Danio rerio: one gene and its partner. The protein of the gene in region 1 interacts with the protein of each later gene in a pairwise test. Links are inferred from orthologs where the notes say so. Each region holds a gene or a part of one and is shown on either strand. Other genes may lie near its edges. The genes, in order: polr3c and polr3glb.

What was found.
Region 2: the proteins of polr3c (region 1) and polr3glb interact in binary tests that used the Homo sapiens proteins (3 or more experiments, as listed by UniProt). The link is inferred for Danio rerio from reciprocal best matches to the Homo sapiens genes POLR3C and POLR3GL.

Annotation. Positions count from the first base shown.
Region 1 is NC_133191.1:14,595,768-14,599,595, reverse strand, and holds part of polr3c (DNA-directed RNA polymerase III subunit RPC3), read right to left. Parts: intron 539-3,828; coding exon 274-538; intron 1-273. UniProt on the Homo sapiens protein: DNA-dependent RNA polymerase catalyzes the transcription of DNA into RNA using the four ribonucleoside triphosphates as substrates.
Region 2 is NC_133191.1:47,264,650-47,269,075, reverse strand, and holds the start of polr3glb (DNA-directed RNA polymerase III subunit RPC7-like), read right to left. Parts: upstream 2,970-4,426; 5' UTR 2,775-2,969; intron 2,541-2,774; 5' UTR 2,538-2,540; coding exon 2,430-2,537; intron 727-2,429; coding exon 597-726; intron 1-596. UniProt on the Homo sapiens protein: DNA-dependent RNA polymerase catalyzes the transcription of DNA into RNA using the four ribonucleoside triphosphates as substrates. Specific peripheric component of RNA polymerase III which synthesizes small RNAs, such as 5S rRNA and tRNAs.

The DNA of each region.
Region 1 (3,828 bases):
TCTCTTTATTTAAAACTGCTTTTATTCTAGCCAAAATAAAACCAATAAGCCAAAAAAAAATTATCAGACATACTGTGAAAAATTTCTTGCTCTGTTAAAAATCATTTGGTAAATATAAAAAAAAAAAGAAAAGAAAAAAAAAAACTCAAAGGGGGGCTAATAGTTCTGAATTTAACTGTATATGTAACCTGATGTTTGCAGAGTTCACTTCTTCGACCACTTTACATTCAGCAAGTAAAGTTTTTCTGTACTTCATTTGTTGTAGTGTCTCACCTGGCATGTTGTGGGTCAGCCTGTCTGCTACAGTCTTGACTGTACTGCTCATGGTCATCTGGCCTCTCTGCAGGATCTCCTCAACAATGAGCTCTCCCGTGTCCCCATACAGACTCTTGGCGGTGTAGATGTAGCGTGGATAACGGAGCATGTGTAGGATGTGCTCACAGTTGATATGATACTCCACAGGTCCCGCTGGGCCACGACGACCTGGACCAAACGTACACATCCCATGCTGCACCAGCACACACAGAGATTTCTTGACCTAGTAGGAGGACAGTGTTAAAAAGAAAACATGTGACCCTCAAACACAAAACCAGCCTTATGTTGCATGGTTATATTATTGGCAATAGCCAAAAAAATCTTTCTATGGGTCACATTGATTAATTTTTCCTTTTGGACAAAGATCATTAGATTATTATGTAAAGATCATGTTCCATGAGGATATTTTGTAAAAGTCCCACTCAAAATATATTAAAACCTACAATTTTTTTGATGACAAATGCACATTACTAGGTGCTTCATTTTGGCTTTGTTCACACTGCGAGGCTTGGTAAAGTCTAGATCGCATACGCGGCCGGCCAGAAGTGTGATATGCACATTAATATAGCAGCATTTTTTTTTACACTCTGAGTGCTCAAATAAGATTTTTTTTTCTCAGATCTTATTTTTTTGCATAGCTGTTCACATTGCTGTTATAAATGTGGCCAATATCAGATTTGCAGTGTGAACAGATCATGATCCTAAACTGACCCGTATGCGCAAAAGTACACTTACGGACAGCACAAAAGGTCTAATAATTCACACAATGTGTATTCTGTAAGAAGCACGTTGTCATATCATGCTTCATATGATTATTACCCTTTTTACAGACAACTGTGGTGTGTTTCATGAACTGTAAAGGGTTATTCTGCTACTACTAATGTGTATTTCCCCATTTGAGTCTTGAAATAAGTCACTTGTGATAGAAAACACTGATCATTTGTGATTTATGACAACCGCGTAGTGCATCTGTCTGACCAATCAAGTTCAAGTTCATTTATTGAAAAAGCACATTTAAAAGCAGTCACAAGACTGACCAAAGTGGTGTACATAAAACAAAGTAAAAAAAAAAAAGACAGAATATAAAAGCATAGAAATAAGGCAAGAGAAATGACTGTAAAAAAAAAAAAAATATATATATATATATATATATATTTTTTTTTTTTAATTTGCGGTAGAACAAACTATGTAAATAATCTTAAAAAGCCAAGCTAAAAAGGTACGTTTTAAGAAGTGATTTAAAAATGGATAATAATGGATAATAATGGAGCCATTCTAATCTCAGGGGGCAAGGTGTTCCACAACCGAGGACCTGCCACAGAGAAAGCTCTGTCCCCTCTAAGTTTCAGCCCAGACTGTGGAACTAAAAGAAGATTCTGCTCTCTTGACCTAAGAGATCTCACAGGAGTGTAAAGATGAAGCAGCTCTGAGAGATAGGATGGGGCTAGATTATGAAGGGACCAATGGTGTAGTGAACTCAAGGGTTGTTGAGCAGCTGCAGACTGAACTGTGAGGGTGGAGTTGGTTTATCCCTGTTTAGGTTATTTCATTTTACTTCGTCATAAACAACAGGCACGTGCAGAAGGGGGGTTTGAGTGCTTGAGCACATGCCCTTTTTTTTCTCTCTGAGAGAAAGTTCAACCTTAAAAAAAAAAGTGCCCCCTCCTTTGTGCACGGATCTCCAATCCGCAACACCCCTGACACTCTTCAGCTTCGCGGTTAACCCGTGTCCCAATCGTTATCCAGAATGGTTACCAATACCAAGTACAAGTTTTGCCTTCAAAATGTTTCTAAAAATTAACAACCAACTTTCTATGATAAAGTAATTGCCCTGTGTATTCCTTCTACTATGCTGCTAAGGAGATGATGATGTCTGCAGCACAGAATGATGACGCATGCCACTCAAAGATTATGCAAAAGTCACATGAAATCCGACATAACTGTTCAAACTGCGGTCGCAATGCAAAACATCAGGGGCCTCATGTACGAAGACTTGCATGGAAATCATACTAAAACATTGCGTACGCACAAAAATTTCAGATGTATGAAACACTGCGTACGCCGAATCTCACGCATATTCTTTTGTACATCCGAATGAACGTGAAACTGAGCGCAACATGCACGAGCACAAAACCCTTCCCTGCCTCCTCCCCCGTATGAATATGCTAATGACTATACTTTGGCAAAACCCAACGAAAAAGCAATGGCTAGCAAGCCAAAAGAGAAACCTTTTACAGAATGTGAATTGGAGGTGCTGCTTTCGGAGGTAGACCGGAAAAAAGCGGTGTTATTTGCAAGTTTGTTCTCCGGAATTGACAACAAAAGAAAAAAATATAGTGGGAGAGTTTAGCTAATGCGGCTAACACAATTGGGTCTGAACATCGCACCGAGTGAAATAAAAAAGAAATAGTGTGATTTATAGGTGTAAAATGTTGCAGTACCTACAACAGTCTCAGTGGCGCAGTTCGTAAAACGCAGGTTAACATGTTTTGACACGTTCGAGCATGAACTCGGTTCGAATCCAGCGTCTGATGAACTCTTTCTTCTTTTTTCCCCCGCTACATATCAGATTATCACGAGAAAGACAAGTGGGAATCATTAATAAGTTTGTGAATCATATTTTATTTGCACATTTATTGAATGGAAATGTTTCTGATTCACGCATGCGAATTCATCTTCAGATAGTGTCTTTATAGCAATGTGTGTGCAGTAGATAGCTCAGATTACATTGGGAAAACAGGCGACCGCTGCAAATTGTGCTTTGATGTTTAGCTGGTCAACTGTATGGTATGGAAACCATATACCTGCTAGATGAACCTGTCTCATACAGCTGCCATTGCAAGGCTCAGACACTTTGTAGAGAGGAATTTAACACAACTGCCTCTAGGAGTCGCCAATGGAAATAAAACAGACACGCACAAAAAATGTGCGTACGCCAGCCATAATGCTAGCGTGGTGCTGCGCACATTCCCACGTTCAGTTCATCGTTAGTAAATCCAAACGTGAGCGATTCTGAGCGTGAAACCTGGCGTACGCAAAGTTTTTGTGCGTACGCAGCGTTGATACATGAGGCCCCAGATCTGTGTCTGATTTAAGACTACATATGAGAGTGGTACAAATCTAACCTGAAAAAAATCTGATTCCATGCAGTTTGGGCTGTTTACACTGTCATTACTCGAGTCACATGTGGGCAAATTAAATCTGAACTGGTCCACATTTGGCTGCAGTGTGAACGTGGCCTAGACTGCTTTAAAAGGTCATTTTTCCAATATTTAAATTTGTTTTTAAGATCCCATATTATGGATTTTTGAAAATGTCCTTCCATGTAGCGTGTAACACAGCTCTAAGTGAAGTGAAATATCCAGCTAAGGCTTAAAACTGTAAGTGTACAGTGTTTAAAACTGTTGATTCATCTATAAAAGAGTCGACTCACAGTGCTTCAAACGAGTCGTCTTGATAAAGAGGCATTAGGTGTATCGCCATGACGTAATAACGAAACCAAGTAGTTGCACG
Region 2 (4,426 bases), about 33 Mb from region 1:
TCAAAATTCTGCACACAATACCCCTTAATGACAGTGTGAGAAAATATTTTTTCAAACTGTTGCAAATTTATTAAAAATAAAAAACCTGAAAATCACATAAAATTCATTTTTAACACTGAATAAACTACATGAGGTGATCATTGTCAGGTTTTCCTGTTGTTCGCCTGTGTGAAATAAAAGCCGTTTCTAACATATCAATTCGAGGTGTTGGTTAGGACAAAAACTCCTTTTAATATGGAAAATATTTGTTCTATCACGTGCCGTTGCTTTTATACTGAACACGGTTTACATTAGGCTTGAGACTCGCTCCTCTTGGTCATCTGGCAACCTGCACTTGCATATGTTTTGATTCTGGAATGTAATTCCTAGTTCAACCACTGGGTGTCAAATTACATACCTTTAAACATTTGCACCTTTAAATGTTATTTACAATAATTGCATTAAGACTCAGGATTAGAAAAAAAGGATTGCATATGTGCCAAAGTGTAGAAATCGCATGTTATGTAATTTCGAAAAAAAAATGACATGATACAATGAGCATAATATAAGCCCTTTAAAGATGTCAGTAAAGAGCTAGTCCTGGGCTCTGAACTGACCTTTCTTGGGAGCCGCTGGACGGATGTAAAACGGGAGCGTCTTCATGGCTCCCCTAAACTCCTGTTTGAGGGCCAGCATGTACTCGGCCTCCTCACCTGCCTGCAGGGGCACTGGCTTCTGATCCAGAGGCTGAACACATCAAACAGCACATTCACATCTGTCTGCTGCTCACACAAACACCTGCTGTCACTCATTTACACATGCCAAGACAGAAATCAGCTTTTAATAGGGCATACAGCTAAAGTCAGAATGATTTTTTTCTTTTTTAAAATATTTCCTAAATAATGTTCAACAGAGCAAGAAAATTTTCACAGTATGTCTGATAACATTTTTTCTTCCGGAGAAAGTCGTATTTGTTTTATTTCGGCTAGAATAAAATCCATTTAAAGGTCAATATTATTAGCCCCATTAAGAAAATTTTTCTTCTTCGATTGGCTACAGAAAAAAAACATTGTTATACAATGATTTGTCTAATAAACCCCAATCAACCTACTGTAGTTAAGCCTTTAAATGTCACTTTAAGCTGAATACTAGTATTTTGAAAAATATCTAGTCAAATATTATGTACTGTCTTTATGGCAGAGACATCTACAGACACTTAAAATGGCAATAAAATTATTTTCTTTACTGTAATAAAAATGTTAATTGAAATAAAAAAAACATACAGTTGAAGTCAGAATTATTAGCCCCTTTTTTATTTTTTTCCCCAATTTCTGTTTAACAGAAAGATATTTTTTTCAGCACATTTCTAAACATAATAGTTTTAATACCTCATCTCTAATAACTGATTTATTTTATCTTTGCCATGATGCACATAATATTTGACTAGATATTTTTCAAGACACTTCTATACAGCTTAAAGTGACAGTTAACGGCTTAACTAGGTAAATTAGGTTAACTAGGCAGGTTAGGGTAATTAGGCAAGTTATTGTATAATGATGGCTTGTAGACTATCGGAAAAAAAATTGCTTAAAGGGGCTAATAATTTTGACCTTAAAATGGTATTTAACAATTAATAACTGCTTTAATTTTCCAGAAGAAACAATATTATCAGACATACTGTGAACATGTCCTTGCCCTGTTAAACATCATTTAAAAAATATAAAAAAGAACAAAAAAATTCAAAGGGGGGCTGATAATTCTGATTTCTACTCTTACTTCCAGCAGGATAACGCGCCATGTCAGAAAGCACAAATCATCTCAGACTTTTTTTTTTAACATCACAATGAGTTCACTGTACTCAAATGGCCACAATATTCACCAGATCACAATCCAATAGAGCATCTTTGGGATGTGGTGGAAAAGGAGATTCACATCATGGATGTTTAGCGGGCAAACTGCTTGATGATATCATGTCAATATGGACCAAAATCTCTGAGGAATATTTCCAGTATCTTTTTGAATCTATGCCACGAATGATTAAGGCAGTTCTGAAGACAAAAGTGGTCCAACCCAAAACTAGTAAGGTGTACCTAATAAAGTGGCCGGTGAGTGTAAGTGGCTTATTATGTAACTGTTAAGGTAAATAAGGTGGAATACTGTGATGATGTGTTCAACAATAAAACAATTTGAATTCTAAAACAAATATTTAAACAAATATGTTGTTGTGATATTAGACACTTTTAAAATGTAATGTTTGCTGAATGTTGAACAGGACCGTTTTTTCAATGCAATTTCTGTGTAGCTCGTGACGCCATCCACATTAAACTATTAAAGCACTGCGTTTATGCTCATGAAATGCAGAATCTGACTCATATCTTGATAATAGCAGTGTATAACAAGCGTATAACAGTTTATAAACGAGGCTTTATTGTTGTGTCTTGAAGACTCACGGGGAACAGAGGTGTCGGCTGGATGCAGGACGGAGGGAGATTTTCACCTTTACCGATCCCAACTATCTCCACAGAGAAAGTGAGCTGCCCTCTGCCCCTTCCTGCCATCATCTGAGACAAAATATTTCACATTTATTAATCATACATCCTCTTTATTTAACTCGTTTATCCGTTATTCACAGTATAAGTTTACTCATTATCAAACAACTAAATTCGGCTAGAAAAGACACATTTAGGCCAAACATGTTAAAATATTTATTTTTACATAAATGTACTTTTGGTAAATGTTTTATTTTCAATGTAACGTTTTATTTGTTTTGACCGAACTGTAGCATATAAACACACCTCTTTCACTCAATGCGGCGAAATCCCTCTTTATTTTCAACTTCGTTTCATTGTGCAAAGGTTTTATTGGTTAATCCGTCAGTAAACGTGGTTGTTTTTAATGTAATTTCAGGTTTTATTGATGTAAAATTGAGCAATAAAATCACCCGCCAAACATCTGCCCGTTTGTTTTTGCCCGCTTCTGAAAACACTCCTGCCAGAAACATGAGCGCGGTCTTTTATGGTTCCGCGTTTCGCGTCAGTTAACGTTAACCAGTGCTACTCAAAGTGAATCATGCTAAACAAACAAATCATTACAAAATATGTAAGGATTCATTACATGTTTTGCATATTGCTCACAGAGATGCTGATGCACATGCTAAAGATTATTATACTGTAGTCAACATTTGAAGTGGATCAAAACCTTTATCAAAGTTGTTCCAAAACTATTCAACAACACACATTTTTAACTTAGGACAAATTTTGATAAACATTTTTGATCTGTTTTAAATGTTGGCTATTATTTATTAAAACTACTGTTTATGTAGCCTATAACTAAGTTACAACACTTTATTACATATGTGAAACATATTTGTCCGTGTACATACAGTATAGATATTTCTGTAATTCATGGCTTTATTGTATAATACTCACAGACACAGTGCGTGTGTGTGCGCGTGCATGCGTGTGTGTGTGTGTGTGTGTGTGTTTACAGTTGAGGTATTGTTATTAGCCCCCCTTAGAATTCTTTTTTCTTTTTAAAATATTTCCCAAATGATGTTTAACAGGGCAAGGAAATTTTCACAGTATGTCTGATAATATTTTTTCTTCTGGAGAAAGACTTAATTGTTTTATTTTGGCTAAAATAAAAGCAGTTTTGAATTTTTCAATGAAAATTTTTAGGGTCAAAATTATTAGCCCTTTTAAGCTTTTTTTTTTTTTTTTTTTTTGATAGTCTACAGGGGTTCTCAAAGTGGGGGACGCGCGACAATGAAGGGGGGGGGGGTCGCCTAGTTATTTCCAAAAATCGAGTTATTTTTATTAAACCATAAGAATTACCATATTTTATCCATAACCTACTGAAGAGAAAAATCTAAATCATCTTTATAGTGATTTAACATTTTAACATCTTTATACACTATATACTGCTGTATTGAGTTACTATAGTAGCTTCTAGTTACTAGTTCTATTGGATTGCGACCCCTGGGGTAATTACATTATGTTAAAGACAGCAATAGCGTCAGATGTAACAGACTGATTTTATAACACCAGGTTAAACTTTCTGGCACATTAACAGCACTGACATACATTAATTCCACAAAGAATAGACATGGGTTTCTGTACTTATAACCACCTCAGAGGATGTTGGGAGTCGCGAGTCACTGGCATTGTCGTTTTGGGTGTCATGGGCTGAAAAGTTTGGGAACCCTTGGATTACAGAACAAACCACTGTTATACAATAACTTGCCTTATTACCCTAACCTGCCTAGTTAAACTAATTAACCTAGTTATGCCTTTAAATGTCACTTTAAGCTGTATAGAAGTGTCTTGAAAAATATCTAGTCAAATATTATATACTGTCATCATGGCAAAGATAAAATAAATCACTTATTAGAAATGAGTTAATGTTTATTAAAAAACTATTATGCTTAGAAATGTGTTGAACAAATCTT